2 linked regions of the Alligator mississippiensis genome follow. The protein of the gene in region 2 purifies or fractionates together with the protein of the main gene of each other region. This does not show direct contact. Links are inferred from orthologs where the notes say so. Each region holds a gene or a part of one and is shown on either strand. Other genes may lie near its edges. The genes, in order: SUFU and CDC25C.

The links.
Region 1: the proteins of CDC25C (region 2) and SUFU purify together in Homo sapiens (affinity purification with mass spectrometry; 4 studies listed by BioGRID and IntAct, counting the BioPlex papers as one, with this or other methods). This does not show direct contact. The link is inferred for Alligator mississippiensis from reciprocal best matches to the Homo sapiens genes CDC25C and SUFU.

What each region holds. Positions count from the first base shown.
Region 1 is NC_081829.1:99,404,021-99,412,145, forward strand, and holds the start of SUFU (suppressor of fused homolog), read right to left. Parts: upstream 3,466-8,125; 5' UTR 3,414-3,465; coding exon 3,280-3,413; intron 1-3,279. Other genes in the region: ACTR1A (alpha-centractin), read left to right, coding at 5,738-5,785. UniProt on the Homo sapiens protein: Negative regulator in the hedgehog/smoothened signaling pathway. Down-regulates GLI1-mediated transactivation of target genes. Down-regulates GLI2-mediated transactivation of target genes. Part of a corepressor complex that acts on DNA-bound GLI1.
Region 2 is NC_081832.1:79,614,980-79,622,923, forward strand, and holds the start of CDC25C (M-phase inducer phosphatase 3), read right to left. Parts: upstream 3,527-7,944; 5' UTR 3,512-3,526; coding exon 3,366-3,511; intron 3,272-3,365; coding exon 3,174-3,271; intron 2,959-3,173; coding exon 2,919-2,958; intron 2,899-2,918; exon of another isoform or gene 2,101-2,898; coding exon of another isoform or gene 2,003-2,100; intron 1,648-2,002; coding exon 1,614-1,647; intron 1,511-1,613; coding exon 1,394-1,510; intron 1,080-1,393; coding exon 981-1,079; intron 545-980; coding exon 410-544; intron 46-409; coding exon 1-45. UniProt on the Homo sapiens protein: Functions as a dosage-dependent inducer in mitotic control. Tyrosine protein phosphatase required for progression of the cell cycle. When phosphorylated, highly effective in activating G2 cells into prophase.

The sequences.
Region 1 (8,125 bases), on a different chromosome or scaffold from region 2:
ATCAAATTCATCCTTGGGCTTCACTTCTCCAGGCAAAGCAACTCCAGTTCCTTCAGTCTTTCCTCGTAACTCACATTGCCCCTTGGAGAATCCCAGTAAGAAACTCCTTCCTAGAATGGATTTTTGCACCACATTTGAGAGAGCAAGGGGGAAGAGCCTTGCACAAGGAGAGAAACAGAAGGTAGACACATTGAAGTGAACATTTTGAATAGTCAGAGAGGAGGCCTCTAGATAAAGCAACTACTGCAAGGCACAGAGAGGGATTTGTTGTGCTTCTATTTTAAGTCTGGGGACCACCTGTGGAAAGAGTATATGCTACAAATTGTACGGCACATTTTCTTGTCGAAGTATTAACGCAAGCATTTCACCATACAGACACATGCAAATTAGCATATGTTGTGCCTACTTTAATGCTCTTTACATTCAGTTTATGATTTCCCAATTGATATGCTTCTTTCTATTAAGGTATTGAGCCCTATTGGATATAAAGATAGTACAACTTCACAACTGAAAGGAGGGGCCAAGCCCCCAATTCATTTTTTTATAATGTATACAATAATACATCAACAGGAACTGCTCGCTTTAAAAGCGTTTTATTGAGTAGTAACAGCACTGGGCGCACTTTGAAGACACCACACTTCAGCAAAGCAATCTGTCTCTCCATCACGTGAGTCCTTCTGCTCTTCTTCCTCAAGCTGCTGATGCTACACTAAAAGAAAGAAAACAAAAAAAGTCATCTACAACGAAGGAGACCACTTCAAAAAGTGTAATTTTTCCTGACTGCTATCATTTTGGAGTGGAGGGGTGGGCTTAGCTAATGAAGCAGAGGAGGAAAGTTAAACAAAGACATGATGGGGGATGTGGGTGGGAACCTAAATTATGCGGTGTTTGTGTTTTAATATCTTTATGAATTTTGCAAAGTCGCCAGCCAAATCCTTTGCACGAGCACTGGGGACGCGTGTTAGAAGACCCCAAGGTGGAGAAGAGTTAGACAGTATGACAGCAATGACACAAAATTCAATACTTACAGGGACCAACCTCCATCTGTGGTCCTGGTTTGTCCTCCATCTCTGCTTTATATCGGAGGCTGCTCAGGACTTCTGTGACCACGAGACCCAACACCCATTAGGCAGAAGAGTCGCTACCGTCAGTGGAGAATCCATCGGGGGTTCACAACAAGCTCTAGTTCGGTGGTGGAAGATAATGACAAGCTCCTTGTAGTAAGAGCGGGCCGTGCAGCCACACAGCTCATTGCATGCCTACAGACCAGCCAGAGATCCTTCCTTACGGAGACACTGAAAACTCTGTTGTGCCCCTTGGCTCAGCATTTGCTCAACACATGAGCAAAATAAGGCTCTTCTCCCGAGAGATCAACAACAGGTCAGGATCTCAATACAAGGAATGAAGAGTACGTGAACTTCCCATGAACTGCAAGTGCTAAAAAACAGCACCTGGGTGCACAGAGCCATTTCAGCGGAGGGGAACAGCTGATCAAGATGAACCCAGAGGGCACGCAGACGTGTCCCAGGTAGCCAAAGCAGCATGGGATCCTCATAGATGCACAAAAATAGTGTTAAATGCAGATGCACCAAAAAGTACTTTGCAATAGGTTAAAAAAAACCCATCCTTCATCTGAATGGGCTGCTTCCAAAGTGGGTTTGATAATGTGCAGTGAGAGGCCAGATCAGCATTACTACATTTTGCTTGACGCAAGGCATTTGAATGCAAATCAACTCAACCCACAACTCTGAAGTGGAGGCCAGCCCTTTGACCGTAACCTTTTCAAGGCAGGGAGTTGTCTTAAGTCATCTTGGTTAATTCTCTGTTCTACGCAGTCCACCGAGTCATCCGCTTGTCCCACAAACCTTTAAATTGCTGTTTTCAATTGTCCGCACGCTAGCTGCAAGTAAGTGAACTGAATTACATATCTTGTAGCTGCGCGCATCTCTGCGCTGCAACTTATGTAGATATAGCACCCCCGCTCGCTTTGAACAACGGGTTCAGAAGAATGGAAACGTTTGGGATTTCCTTTGGAAAAGCCAGAACTGCACCAGCATGTAACAGCCCCTCGTCAAAGGGCTGATGAGACCGGCCAGAGGAAAAAGTTGGATTTGCATTTGCAAAAGGCAATTCTCTGATGACTGACGGAAACCCTAGGAAGTCTGATACCAGGGAGAAAGACACCTGCCCAGCCAGGGGCCATAAAACGATTAGCGGAAGTAATACGATTCATTTATTAGCATATCATTGGAAACACAAGAGAACGGGTCGTTGCATTATAGTGCCTTGAAAGCACGAGATGCAGCAAAACACGGAGACTGCCCGGGGGCTGATGGAAAGACAGCTCGGCCTCATCTCTTCACACGTCACGGCCACGAGCTGTTCATACGGGAGCACCACCACCAGCTTCACCTTGCCCACTCGCGTGCCAAACCCGCCCACGAGGCAACGCTGCCTCCGAAGGGCCCCGAGCCCCCGCTTTGGCCTTGCTAAGCGCCACGAGCTCGAGGTCACTTAAAGGCAGCTGCCAGGCCTTGTTTTTGGGATCTGACAAGAGCAAAGCAGGAGGGAGCGGGCAACAGGAGCTGCTAACGATGCTCTGGGGCTCTGCAGAGACAGCAGACGTGCCCGTAGGGACCGTATAGTATCACGTAATGCACCGTAAAGGAAGGAGTGCATCCATAGGGCTCTACCCCTTGCAACTTTACCCCTCTTCCGGTGTATTTAGCCACTCTTCTTAATAAACACCTAAATGCTGGAGAAAACACAGCCGCCCTCTCACACGGACAGCGCGGAGGTGTCCAAAGGCTCCCGATCTGCCCCGAGAGACGTGCAAGCGGGGAGAGATGCACCTGTTGCACAGAGCCAGTCTCCGGAGCTAAATCTTCCCCTTTGCAAACGTCCACGTCGGCGGGTCACGCCGCGCCGCGCCGCACCGCGCACAGAAAGCCACGCTGCCCTGCACGGCCAGGTGGAAGCGAGACTCCCTTTGAAACGCAGAATCGGCGCGCCCTAATAAATACGGATTAGGGGTCCCGGTGGTCTTCCCGAGACCCGTTCGGACACGCCGTCTTTCCACCCGAGCCCTCGTGCCGAGATCTCCTCGGCCGAGCTGATGTCACGTCCCGGGCGCGCTCCACCAGTGTGAGAGCTGCACTGGGGTATAGCTCCCCATGAGGACCCCTCGCCGTGACGTCACCCCCGCGGGGCCCCGCCCCCCCGTGACGTCACGCGGGATGCCCCGCCCCGTGCCCCCCTGGCCCGGGCCCGCGCGCTCACCAGTACTTGAGGATGGCGGTGACCTGCAGCGGGTTGGGCTGCTCGGGGTAGAGGCGGCGGCACTCTCCGTAGATGCCGTGCAGGCCCGGCGGGAAGAGCGCGGGGAAGGCGGCCGGCGGCCGCGCGCCCTCCATGGCCCGGCCCGGCCCGACCTGCGCCCGGTGGCGGCGGCGGCTCCGGCCGGGGTGGGGCGGGGCCTGCTGACGAGCGCGCGGCTCCACCAATCGCCTGGAGGGGATGGGGCGGGGCCTCCCCCCGCCGGCCCCGCCCCCGCCGCCTGCCGCCGCCCGAGGCTCGCGCGCCCCCTGGCGGCCGCCGCCGGCAGCTGCACCCGGCCCTATCCACCCATGAACCTGGAGCCTAGGGGGGGCTCAGCCTCGTGCACGTGCACATGCACACGCGCGAGGTTCATGCTGCGCGTGACAGCCTCGACCTCTTACAGCCGCCGGGATTTAGCCCCCTAAATGGCCCCTTTGACTCCGGCTCCTAGAACGAATCGCGCACGTGCGTTTTGTGTAGGATAAGGGTCCACGTAACCAGCCGTTGTCCATGGGCACTGCTACGCCTGTAAGACTTTGGCAGGCAGGACGGCAGAAATGCGACGTTTTCCAGTTTTGGGGAATTTCCTGTCGTTGCTCTGTACAGCGGGGTGTACGGCTCAATTGCGACAACAACCGCACTGCGTCTCTCCTTTCTTTCTGTCTTTCTTTCTTCCAGGGAAGGGCCAGACCGTGCTAGAAATTGTAGCCACGTCTCTAATCCTGCAAAGTCTCGTGCACCTGTAAAAGTTTGCACGCTGCGAATGCCTCCATAAATCTTGCCAAGATCAGGACGTGGGATTATAGCTAAAGCAGCAAATTGAGCTGCAAGGTGTTCCTGCTCCCTGGGTTTTCCATGTGCGCAGGTGAAGAATATTTGCCCAAACGTCAATGTACACAAAATAGGTTTCGGGGAGTTCACCTGCAGCCAGAGACTGAAAGGTGGGCAAACAAACGAATAAGAGTTGCTAAGAGGCGAGCAATTTATACTTGAATGAAGTACTGGCTCAAACAATACGCAATGTTTCACCTGTCCTAGTACGGTGATACCAATAACGGTTTCCCCACCTGAGAAAAGTCGACTGCGGTAACCGGAGAAGGTAAATATTAGAAACAGAATCCCTTAGCAAATACTTGGGTTGGTTTAAGGCACACATACGTCTCTCTGGTGATTTATCTGGGCTAACATGACACCTCCCGTGCTGTTCGGCCCGCTAACGATGGATCGTAACGAGTGAGAAGGATATAAAAATCAATAAAATTAGCTGAGGTCAATATTCAGAGTATCTGCCCAGGATTCAATTTAAAGGTGAGGCTCAATGTCTGAATGAACGGGTGCTAAAATACTCCGCGCACGTGTTGTTGGGTTGTAAAAAAGCCCAGGGTGCTTCGTTCAGCCTAAACGCTGCTGGGCAGCAGTCATCAAACAGCGTGTGGTTGGAGCAGGGAAGGAGACAGCGTATTTTATCATCTCTCCATTCCAGTGAGTCGCAATCGGGGTGAGCAGCGCCCCGGGGGGCTCGTGAGGTCCTTTCCAGGGTGCCAAGGCGCGCGCCACTTCGAGGCCCAACGACTCGATGTTGAGGCAGGACGACGGTGCGGCGGCGGCGGCGGCGGTGGAAGGAAGAGACCAACCCAAAGACCACGCGTGTCTGGAATCGGGCTCTTCAGTCACCTGAGGACCCATCAAGTTTAAAACCAAAGGCCTGGCCCCGGCAGCGGCGTTTCTAGTCAGGCAGCGCCGAGGGATGCCATTGGCCTCGGGGCTCCTTATAGTCCTTGCGGCTCCCTTGCTGACTCTTGGTTGCGCGGCTGTCAATGACCTGCTCTGCCTTTTAAGAGGCTCGACGTCGTGCCCATCGGGCTGGGCCACCTTTCTTCTGCCCCTCGCTGCTCCTGGGCACGAGGCGCCTAGTTCGCAGCCTGGCAGAGCATTGTCACCCACCCTCTTCTGAAGCCGCCCGAGGCCTGCTGTGGCCAAGAGCCTCCTTCAAGGGACTACCTGTCCCAAGATGCACCGCCCCCCGGACTACAACTCCCGGCATGCTCACAGCTCCACATGCACAGAGAACGACATTTCCCAGCATGCCCCGCGCACTCTGCCTATGAAGAGCTCCCAGCATGCCCCGCAATTCCCTCAAGAACTACATTACCCAGCACGCCCCGCCTCCCTACCCGAAGACAGCTCCCAGCATGACCCGCGCCCCGACTACATTTCCCAGCATGCTCCACGCCCTCCGCCTCATGAAGACGGCTCCCAGCATGCTCTGCGATCCCTAAGACTACATTTCCCAGCATAACCCGCGCCTACCTCAAGAAGACAGCTCCCAGGCTGCTTCGCGCGCTGCCGCGTCCCTCGCGCATGCGCCCCGCGGCCCGGGCTGTGGCTCCCCGGCTGGTGTGTGCGGCGGGTGCTGGCCATGGAGTCCTACGACGTGATCGCGAACCAGCCCGTCGTGATCGACAACGTGAGTGCGGGGCCCGCCGGCCCCTGCGGGGCGGGGCGGGGGGGGAGCGCGGGCATCGCCGCCCTTTGTCATCGCGGTCCCCGCCCCGCCCCCCCCCCGGCGCCGGCCACAGAGACGCGTCAACCGAGCTTGGCGCCCACGGGCCGCTCGTTCTGCTTCCTGATTGGCTCCCGCGCTTGCCAATCTCCGCCTGAGGGCGCAACTGAACATGCTGGCGAAACGGGTCCTCGGCTTCGGGGTGGGGTGTGTTTTGATGGCCTCCGATTGGCTGTCCCGTCTGTCAGTCGCCCTCAGCGCCCTTCTCCCCTGTTTGAGGCGGGGAGTCCCGCCCCCCCGGGGAGAGCCCCTGCGCTAATTGGTCGTGAGGGCTGTCAGTCATTGTCCAGGCTTCGGGGTGAGCTGCCCCGCCCGTTGGCTGCCTTGGGACAATGGGCGCTGGGCCGTGGGGCCCCTCCCAGCATGCACTGCTGCTTGAGCCCTCCCAGCATGCATTGCTCCGTGTTCTCTGGTGTGGCCCCTCATGCACTGCTCCTTGTGCTGTCCTTGAGGTGGCCCCTCCCAGCATGCACTGCTCTGTTGTCTGGTCTTGGGGGGGACACTCCCAGCATGCAGTGCTCTGTTGTGCTTTCACTGGGGTGGCCCCTCCCAGCATTCACTGCTCCTTGTGCCCTCCCAGCATGCACTGCTCTGTGTTGTGGGGTGGCAGCTCCCAGCATGCACTTCTCTGTTGTGCTGTCCTGGGGGGGGGGGAGACACTCCCAGCATGCACTGCTCTGTGTTGTGCTCCGGGGTGGCAGCTCCCAGCATGCATTTCTCTGTTGTGCTGTCCTGGGGGGGGGAGACACTCCCAGCATGCGCTGCTCTGTGTTTTGCTCTGGGGTGGCTGCTCCCAGCATGCACTGCTCTGTTGTGCTCTCACTGGGGTGGCTGCTCCCAGCATGCACCGCTCTGTGTTGTGCTCTGGGGTGGCTGCTCCCAGCATGCACTGCTCTGTTGTGCTGGCCTGGGGGCCCCTCCCAGCATGCACTGCTCTGTGCTCTCACTGGGGTGGCTGCTCCCAGCATGCACTGCTCTGTTGTGCTCTCACTGGGGTGGCTGCTCCCAGCATGCACTGCTCTGTTGTGCTCTCACTGGGGTGGCTGCTCCCAGCATGCACTGCTCTGTGTTGTGCTCTCACTGGGGTGGCTGCTCCCAGCATGCACTGCTCTGTGTTGTGCTCTGGGGTGGCTGCTCCCACGAGGAGCTCTATCTCCAAGTGAGTGGGAGGAGCAGCTGCTGGGATTGACTGCTCCCAGAATGCACTGCTCCATCCCCGCTGACAGGGCCTGGTCCCGGCACAGGAGGCTTCTCTTTGATCCCCTCCTTGGTGCCGTGTCAGCATCATGTGGGCAGGGCGGCGGTGGCCTCCGGGGGCCCGTCCCCCGGGGCCTGGGCGAGCCCTGATGCCGAGGCCTCCCAACAAACGGCGCTATTCAGGGACGGGCCAGAGCAGGAGGGGGTGGAAGGGCAGCAGGTTGAGCCCAGTGAGTCACGCTCTCCGTCTCCTCCCTTCGGCTCTCCCGTGCCAACGCCCCGAGCGCATCTTGCTGTCCCAGATTGGGCCGTGCCCGTGCTCTCATCTTTCTGCCTCGCCTTGGGCAAAGGGTTGCAGGAGTGGCAAGCAGCACGTGGGATGGCTCGCCCGGCCGTCCTCAAGGCAGACCGCGTTTCTCACATACCTCCCGGCCTCGCTCCTTGTTTTGCACGTCTCAGAAAACCTGCTGCGGGTCCTGCCGGAGATGCAGCGTTGGCGTTTGCTCCTCCGCTTGGTGTTTCTCTCGGAGATCAGGGCAGCGATGCCGTCCAGTAATCAGAGCAGGGTTCCCAGTGCTACACACCACAGTCTTTGAAAGCAAATCCAGATTTAACAGATTGGTTCCTTTTTTCCTCACTCTTTTATGCACTGTGATGAGTTTGAGCAAGTTGCTTGTCCTCTCTGTGCTTTGAACTGTCCTCAGTAAAAAGAGGATAGCGAAGCTTTTCCCCACCGGGGTAAAACCATTGCTAGTTCAAGGGTGAAAGGCCCCAGAGGACGTGTCGTCAGTCAGCGTGGTGCAGGCAGTGCGATGCCACGGTGAGGGGCAAAGGATGAAGGGACACATTAGCAGCTATCCAGGTCCGATTCTGCTCTATCCTGGGCACGTTACGTGGGGAATTTTTATCCCCTGCAAATGAAAGAAATCTTTGCTCCGGTTACGTTGTGGGACCAGCGTCCTTTCCTGGCATGGCTCCCAGCTCGGAGCCTGGCGTGACGTTGCAGTTTCAGCGCTGTCCATGAGCTAGGCGAGGGAGAACGTGGAA
Region 2 (7,944 bases):
GAGCAGAACAGCCATACTGGAAGACTGGTTTCCAGCCACTGGTATCTGAAGGAGCAGAAACATTGCATTACCACCAAGACAGTCCGCTGGCAGTCACTGAGACCACGAGTCAGCCACAGGCCTGTGTTCCTGTGCCTGACTGTACCAGGCAAGGCAGAAGGACATGTCTGGGGCTCATTGTACTTGGGAGCTGCTCTCCCTTACATTTTCTCACAGTGGGTAATGACTATACCATCTTCCCAGTGCCCTGAAGTGACCAGCAGCCAGCTGAAAGAAAGCTCCTCAGCACCCCCTGGCTCTTGGTAGCCTGGAATCGGGCGAGGTCCGGGACTGGCTCTGTGATGCTTGTTTCTCTGTCCTGGGCATGGCTCTGCAGCCTGTGACACAGGACGCAGCATGCAGGACTCACCTCCATGTCTTCCTGCTCGTCAGGGAAGAAAGCTGCAAAGCTGGCCGAGTGATCTGCTGTCCTGTGTGCGTAGGATTCCACCTCGGCAATCGGGCTGCCTAGCTCGGTCATCTCAGACTCCAGGCTTCTTACATCCTAGCAGGGAAGAGGAGAAGAGTTTGGGGCTGCAGTGGTACCCAGCTCCCATACCTTCTCTGTCGTGTTTTCCAGCACCAACCACCAATCCAGAGAAACTCCGGAGAGTAGAGGCAGACTCCCTACAGTGCCTGCGTAGCCTCACTGCAGGGAGTATTTTCTAGAGCTTGCCTGGAGCAGAGTGCATGATCTGCCCCAGGGTCAGAAGAGGAATGCTTGTTCCCACTCCAGTTCCTGATTCTGTACTGGAGTCAGGGCTTCATTTGAGGAACAGACGGTACTCATGGTCAGAGAGGGACGATCTGATCTAGCCCAGCTTCTTCTCCTTCCCCTCTCGTAGGAGGAACCCTCACCCAGCCCGAGCTCTGTCGCTGTACTGCTACCCACTCCGTGGGAGGGAGTCACTGGATTCTGAGGAGCTGAGCTGTTAACTCACCAGCGGAGCAGTAAGGCAAGTCAGAGGATCCATCACTTCCTTATGGAACAGCAAGGGCTTGGACACATGCCATCCTGGATGCTTAAACCAGCCCCCCTCCTGAAACGAGAAGGGTCAGGAGCTCTCAGCTCTCTGGCTCTAGGAGGTGCTGAGAACTACCTTCAAGCCCCCACCCCTCAGGTCAAGAGCCCAAGGCAAGTTCAGCTCCAACCCTGGCATTAAGCAGCCACTGGGCACTGGCTGTGAGGAGGGTCACCAGCATGGTGGGTGGGTGAGAGCAGGAAGGGAATCTAGAGTTCCTGGAAGACTGCAACCCTCCCAAAAGCAGCACTTGCAAAACACTGTCGTGTCGTAGGGAACTCCAGTACTGAGACTGCTCCAGCCTGCCCTTCGCTGGTCCAGCAGGGACTCACCTTTGCCATGCTCATCAGGGGACTGGCCATCTCACTGCTCTCACAGTACATGGCGCCTGGTGTGCTGCACCGTACCTGGGGCTGGAACGGACAGGAGGGAACGCTCACTGGAGACAACTGTAAGCATAAACTCAGAGCTGCAGCCAGCATCCCAGCGCACCGACTCGCCACATCTCCCAGACAGCAAATCGCCTTTCTTTGAAGACGAAAAGGTACTCACCGGGAGAGACCTCAGACACTGCCTCTGCGACTCTCTGCAGGAAGAAAGATAGCCAGTCAGTGTCCTGGCCCCTCTTCCTGGCCAGCTTGCACTGCCCTGGGACAGGGCTCCCATCCCTACCTGCATCCTCCCTCGCATCCACAGAGCCCTTCCCAGCCCCGTGACAGCGCTCAGCGACAATTCAGGACACCTGTGACACCCCGCCCCCGCCAGCAGGATCATGCCATTTTGCAGGGAGGACAGTTTTGGAGGCCACGCCACGTGTCAGCGGCAGTGCTGCGACTTGAACGCGGGATCCTTTCTGTCATCTTACACCCTTTCCCCGTTTGTGCTGAACGGGACACAGCCAGCTGGCTGGAGACTGGCAGGACAGCTCAGAAACTACTCACTCGTTTCTCTGGTTTCCAGATTCTGGTGTCAACCCGAGTAAGAAATAACACCAAATCCAACACAGCTGGCACCCGCGCATCAGCCTCTGTGCAAACATCACCTGTCCAGGTCCAGCAGGTGCTAGACCTGGAAGAGGCAGGTACTGCAGACACCCAACCGCTGCGGGACGAGCAGCCGCTCTAGGCTCTTTAGGAACTCGTGCATTGTCCGCGCTCAGCAGGAGCTGTCCAGATGGGGACAACACCCGAACGGCACGGACACGCTGACAAGCGAGTCAACAGCCGTTTCTGACAGCATCCCAGCCACACGTGCCGAACGGGCTGGACCGTCCCCTGAATGGGCAGGCGGGCACAGCAGCGAACCAACAATACTACCATCTCTGTTCCTCGGCTAACCGCTTAGATGGGCAGGGGTTGTGTTGAAATGAGATTCAAGTAGGAGGACAAGGACTCGGCAGCTGAAAAGCCACAGGCCAACGCTAAAATCAGCGCAGCTGGAAGGTTTGTAAGACAGGACAGCCGAGGCAGAGACAGATCCACTTCAGCGCGCTCTGCGCAAAGGGAGAGCCCTGGGCCAATCGACCCACTGCGAACACGCAAAGAATAGCTGTGCTTCAAACTGCCGCGCAGTGCCGCCACCGCCCAGACTCCCAGCGTCGTGAAACAGGCTGGGCGCGACACGGTCCGAGCCAGCAGAGCCCTAGCCGCTGCCCGGCCAGAGGCAAGGACGGCTCGCGGGACGGGACAGGACGTCCGCCCGGCCCGACCCAGCACTCCTGACCCGGGCACAAGACACGCCCGCCACCGCTCGCAGCGGACGAGGAGCCTCGGGAGGGACAGGCCCCGCTCGCAGCACGGCGCAGGCTGCCGCGCAGAGACCGCCGGCCCCGCAGCAGCGAGCAGCCAGGACACTTACGGCCCCTGCCCGCGTCCCGGCGCGTCCGTCCGGCCTGCAACTGAAGAGACACAAGTAGGCGACACCCGCAGCGAGCGGCCGCGCCGGGCACGAGCCACAGCGAGGCGAAGGCGGCCGGCACCAGGGCGGGCCCGGGCAGCTGGGAACGCCCGGCAGCCCCGGCCCCCGCCGCGGCCCAGCGCGCATCCTCGCGGTCCGCCGCGCCGCCACGAGCGCCGGGCGGCGGGGCAGGGGCCGGGGGGCGGCGGCGCCTACCAGGCTCGGGCCCGCCCGGGGACGGCGCGAAGCGGAAGACGGTCATCTCCTCGCCGGCGCTGAGGTCGGACAGGTCCAGGCAGCAGCGCGGCGTGGCCCTGCGGGGAGAACGCGCGAGCGGCTCAGGGCCGGGCCGGGCCGGGCCCCACGGGAGGCGGCGGCCCGCGCGGAGGCCGGCGAAGCGGCGCTCACCCGGGCGAGGCGCGGAGGCCCCGGGCGAGGTCCGGCGAGAAGGGCAGCGAGAGGTCGGCGTCCCGCAGCAGCCCCAGCACCATGCGGCAGCCGGCGCGCAGCCCCAGGCGCGACCCGCCCCGCCCCGGCGAGCGCCGCCCCGACATGGCCCGCGGAGAGACCCCGCGCCGCCCACTTGAATGTAAATAGAACCCGCCCCCCGGCCCTGCCGCCCCGCCCCCCGGCCAATCAGCGCGCTGCTCTCCGCCCCTCACCAATCAGCGCGCTGCTGGGGGCGGGGGAAAACAAACCCCAGAGCCGCTCTCCGATTGGCTCGCTGCGCTGCCCGCTATTGGAGCCCGGGCGGGCAGGGCTATTGCCATTGGGGGCTTCCGCCGGCGGGCGGGGCTTCGGGCGGCCAATGGCCGCACGCGGGCGCACGTGGAGCTTGTCGACGCCGCACGTGGGCGTGGCGCAGGCGCCAAGAGGCGGCGCGGGCCGGGCCTGGCCGGGTCGGGCGGTGTCGTACATGCTGCCCGTCGCCTCCTCCCGGCCCGCGGCGGGGCGCAGGTACGGCCGCCCCGCCCCGCTCCCCGCGGCTCTGCCGGTGCCCAGCCCGGGGTCTCGGTCCCGGTCCCGGCCGCGGCTGTGGCACAGGCTCCCGCCCGCCGCGTCCGGGAAGGCAGCGGGGCTCGGCGCAGGGAGACCCGGGCGCTGCCCGCCTGGCGGGGGTCTCCGCGCCGACCCTTGCGGCCCCCGGGGGGCGCGGCATGCCCGCCCGCGGAAAGGCGGCGCCGGGGCGGGCGGGGGAGCGGCGGCGGGCTCGGGTGCCGGCAGGCGGCTGTGGGGGGCGCCGGTCCCCCGCAGAGACTGGGGCGGGGCGGGAGCGGCGGGCTGGGTGAGGCAGTTGCGCGGTGTGACGGGTGCGGCTGCGCGTCCGTGCGCCCCGCACAGCCCGGAGCGCCCCGTGCGCGGAGCAGCGGCTCGCCGCGCCCGTAGCTGCGAAGCGTCCGCTCCGATGCCCGCAGGAAGGGAAGGGAGGGAGCGGTTCCTCCGCAGGTCGCCCGGGCTGTGACGCCAGCTCCGGGTGTGCGCCGAGCCCTGTCCGCACCCAGCAGCGGTGCCGTTGCGCGGCGCCCTTGAAAGGACCTGGTGCGCGTGGAGGGATCCCGCGCGCCCCTGGCAGACCTCCGTGCTTCGGGCCTGAGCTCCCGCGGAGCCGGGGCTCCGTCCCCCGGGGGCCCCGTGGCGCAGCTCCGGTTCCGCGTCCCGGACCCAGCGGTTGACTTGGGGGAACGCGGCGCGGCGCCTCCGTCGGTGACACAAGCCCCCTGGACGCTGCGGGGTGCCGCTGAGCAAGCTCTTCTCCCCCGGAGCAGGCCCGTGTCCTCCGAGCCCGTTTCTTTCCGAGTTCGCATGGTCAGCGTCGGGGTCGGCACGTGGCCCAGCCCAGCGCAAGGAGCCGGCTCGGGATGCAGGTGTGGTGGTCTCTGCCAGGGACGTGGCTTGTCCAGGCTCGGGTCTCGGGTCTCCGGTGCTGACTGGGTTCCTGTTCCCCAGATCTGACATCGAGACGGATGAGAGCACCCTGCAGCGTAGGCAGAAGCAAATTGATTATGGGAAGAACACCCTGGGCTACCAGCGCTTTCTGCAGCAGGTTCCCAAGTGAGGGCTCTTTGTCTTTCACCTCCTCTCCCCGTGCGGGCCTGCTGGCTCTGGCCACAGGCCCTCGGCACAGGGGAGACGTCAGAGCTTGCTCCAGAGCAGGGGCTCCCAAGCTGCACCCCTGGGGTGTGCAAGACATGTGAGGGGTACCTGAGAGAAACTGGGTAATGGCAACTTGAATTTCCATTATAATAATAATAATAGGCGTGAAAGGGGCAGCTGGCAGATCTGGGAGGGGGCACGCAATAAGACAGTCTGGGAGCCCTGGCTCTGGAGCGCCTCTTCCTCCTCGCTGACCCTGCCGACGGGCAAGTTGCTCTTCCTGCCCCAGGGGACGGCGGGGCCGTTCTTGTCCTGTTCCCGCTAGGATAAGGGGTCTTGTCCCGAGGTGGGAGGATCTGGCCCTTCCTCATGACGAATGCGATGCTGTATTTGTAGGTCCACTCGGCAGGCAGAGGTCCACCCTCAGACCCCAAACAAGTACAAGAAGTACAGCCGCCGCTCCTGGGACATGCAGATCCGGCTGTGGAGACGGGCCTTGCACGCGTGGGACCCGCCCAGCCAGCATCCTCTCCAGTGCCACCAAGGACTTGAGAGGGAAGTGTCTGCCAGGTGTTTGGCTCCTCCAGAGCCTTCCAGGGGGAGTGCTCGTGCGGCAGGGTGACGGGGCAGCTTGTGCCCACGCTGGGCTGGATGGTGGTCTCCTTAGTGCCGCCTCAAAACGCTCGCTGAGTGCGGCTGCCCTTACACCTGCCCGTGCAGATGGCTCGAGACGGTCAGTGAATGGGGCGTTAACGTGCCCAGGCCTCCAGTTGTCAGGGGCCCACTGAGACTTGGCGCCTTATGATACTGGGCAGCGGGTGCTTTGCACCTCTGGAAGGAGAGGGGCTATGCAAAGAAATCGTGTCGTGCACAGTGTTGGGGACGCGTTCGCACGTCTTGACGTGCACCATGTGCCGTGGAAACTGGTTCCCTGCGTTGTGTGGAGTTACCCGGGCATCTCCGGTGCTGCTGGGGAGGGGGGCAGAGCTGGGGAACGGGCCTTCGGTTGCTGGGTCTGATTAGAGAGCAAAGACTGGGTGCAGTGTCCCACGTGGCTGTGCATCGGTGTGTTCTGGGGAGCAATCCTGCCCACCGTGGCTGGGGCTCAAGGGAGAGAGACTGCTGTGCCTCCCCGCAGCTCTGAGCCCTGGTGTGCCCCAGCACTTGCTGCTGCTGCCTCTCTCTTTGGGGTCAGTGACTGGAACTGCTGTTTCCTTGCAAGACAGGGCCTGGCAGCTCTCTGCAGCGCTGGAGATGGAGACAGACCCTTTGTGTTGCCTCTCTGATCACTGGCTGGGAGCCTTGGCTTGGCCTCCCCAGAGCCTGTCCAGAGCAGCACTAGGAGAGGTAGGCGGGGGATGCTGGTGGGGTGCGGGGGTCCACGGGGCAGGAGGCTTTCTGCGGAGGGATGGTGGGGCTGAGCAGGGGGCGCTGGGGGCGGGGAAGAGTGGTGGAAGGGATCAGCGGGCCTCGCTCGGGGCCTGGCCTTGTGCCTCTCTCTTGGATTGCTTTCCTGTTCCCGTCGGGCTCACGCTGGTTCCCCCTCGCTCAGCTGGCGGCTCTGGGCCCCTCGTCTCCTTGCCTGCCCCCCGAGGAGGATCCCGGCAGGCTGCACGTCCGGGGAGACGCTGCTTGTGGCTGGGGCCGCGTGTCCGGGGCGTGCGGCGCACCCCGTCTTCCGCAGCCGGCTCGGTGGGGGCCGCCGGAGCCGGAGCCTGCGCCCTGACGCAGCTGCTGCCCGGGCTCCTGGCCCCGGGGAGCGGCGGGAGCGCGCTCCTGGCCCGGGGGGGCGGGCCCTTGCCTTGCCCCCGGGCCGAGGGGACGCGGGCCGCCGGCCGGGGTGAGCGCCGGGCCGCCCGCTCGGGCGCAGGGAGGCGGCGGGGCCCTGCCGCGGGCGGGCGGGCGGGCGGGCGGGGGCCGGGCCGGGGTGAGGGCGGCGGTGCTGCGGGCCCCGGGGCCGGGGCGGGCGCGGCGATGGCGATGGCGGCGGCGCGGACTACACTTCCCAGGGTGCCCGGGCCGCGCGGGCGCTGCGGGCTCGGCCGGGCCCGGGTGCGGGGAGCCCGAGCCGGCGGCGCCCGCGCGCCCGAGCCGGGCGCTGGACGAGGTGGGAGCGGGCCCGGGTGCCGGGCGCCGGGGCCCCGCTTGCCCGGGGCTGGTGGCCGGAGGCTCGGCGGGGCGCTGTCGGGCGGCGCGGGGCAGGGACCCCGGCGTGGTGTCGCAGGGGCGGCGGCGGGGATGGCGCGCGCGGAGCCCCGGCCGGGCGGGCCCAGGAGCGGCGCGGCGGGCGCTGCCCCGGCCCGGCCCTGCTGAGCGGCGCGGCGCGGCGCGGCGCGGCGGGCCTGGCTCGCGGGAGCCATGGTGCCGCTGGTGGCGGAGCAGCTGCAGACGCGGGCGCTGGAGGAGCCGACACGCGCGTCCTTCGGCATCCGCCCGGTAAGAGGTTTCCCGAGCGCGCCGAGCAGGCTCAGGCCCCGCGGGACATGGGGCCGACATCGTGCTGGCGCTCCGGGGCGGGCGGCGGGAGCCGGCAGGGCCGTGCGGGGTGGCGGGTCGCGCCCGGAGCTGCGGGGGAAGCTTGCCGCAAACCAGGCGGGTCCGGCCGGCGCCGGGCGCTGCGGGGTCCCTGGGCGTCCCGCGGCGCGAGCTCGGGCCGGGGCCGGGGCCGGGGCCGGGCCGGGGCTGTTGTCTGCGCTGTGGCGGTGGCTGCTGGGCGATGGGCGATGGCCGTGCCTGGTGGGGCTCAGAGGCGTCTCCTTGGAGGAGCGCTTTGTGACCCCCCTGGGATAGGGACGGAGTTTCTTCGGGGAGGGGGAGCCCCTGCATCCTCCCTACGGGGGTGGCCTTTTTGTAACGATCCGGATCTGGTTTTTCTCCCAAACAAATTAAGCAC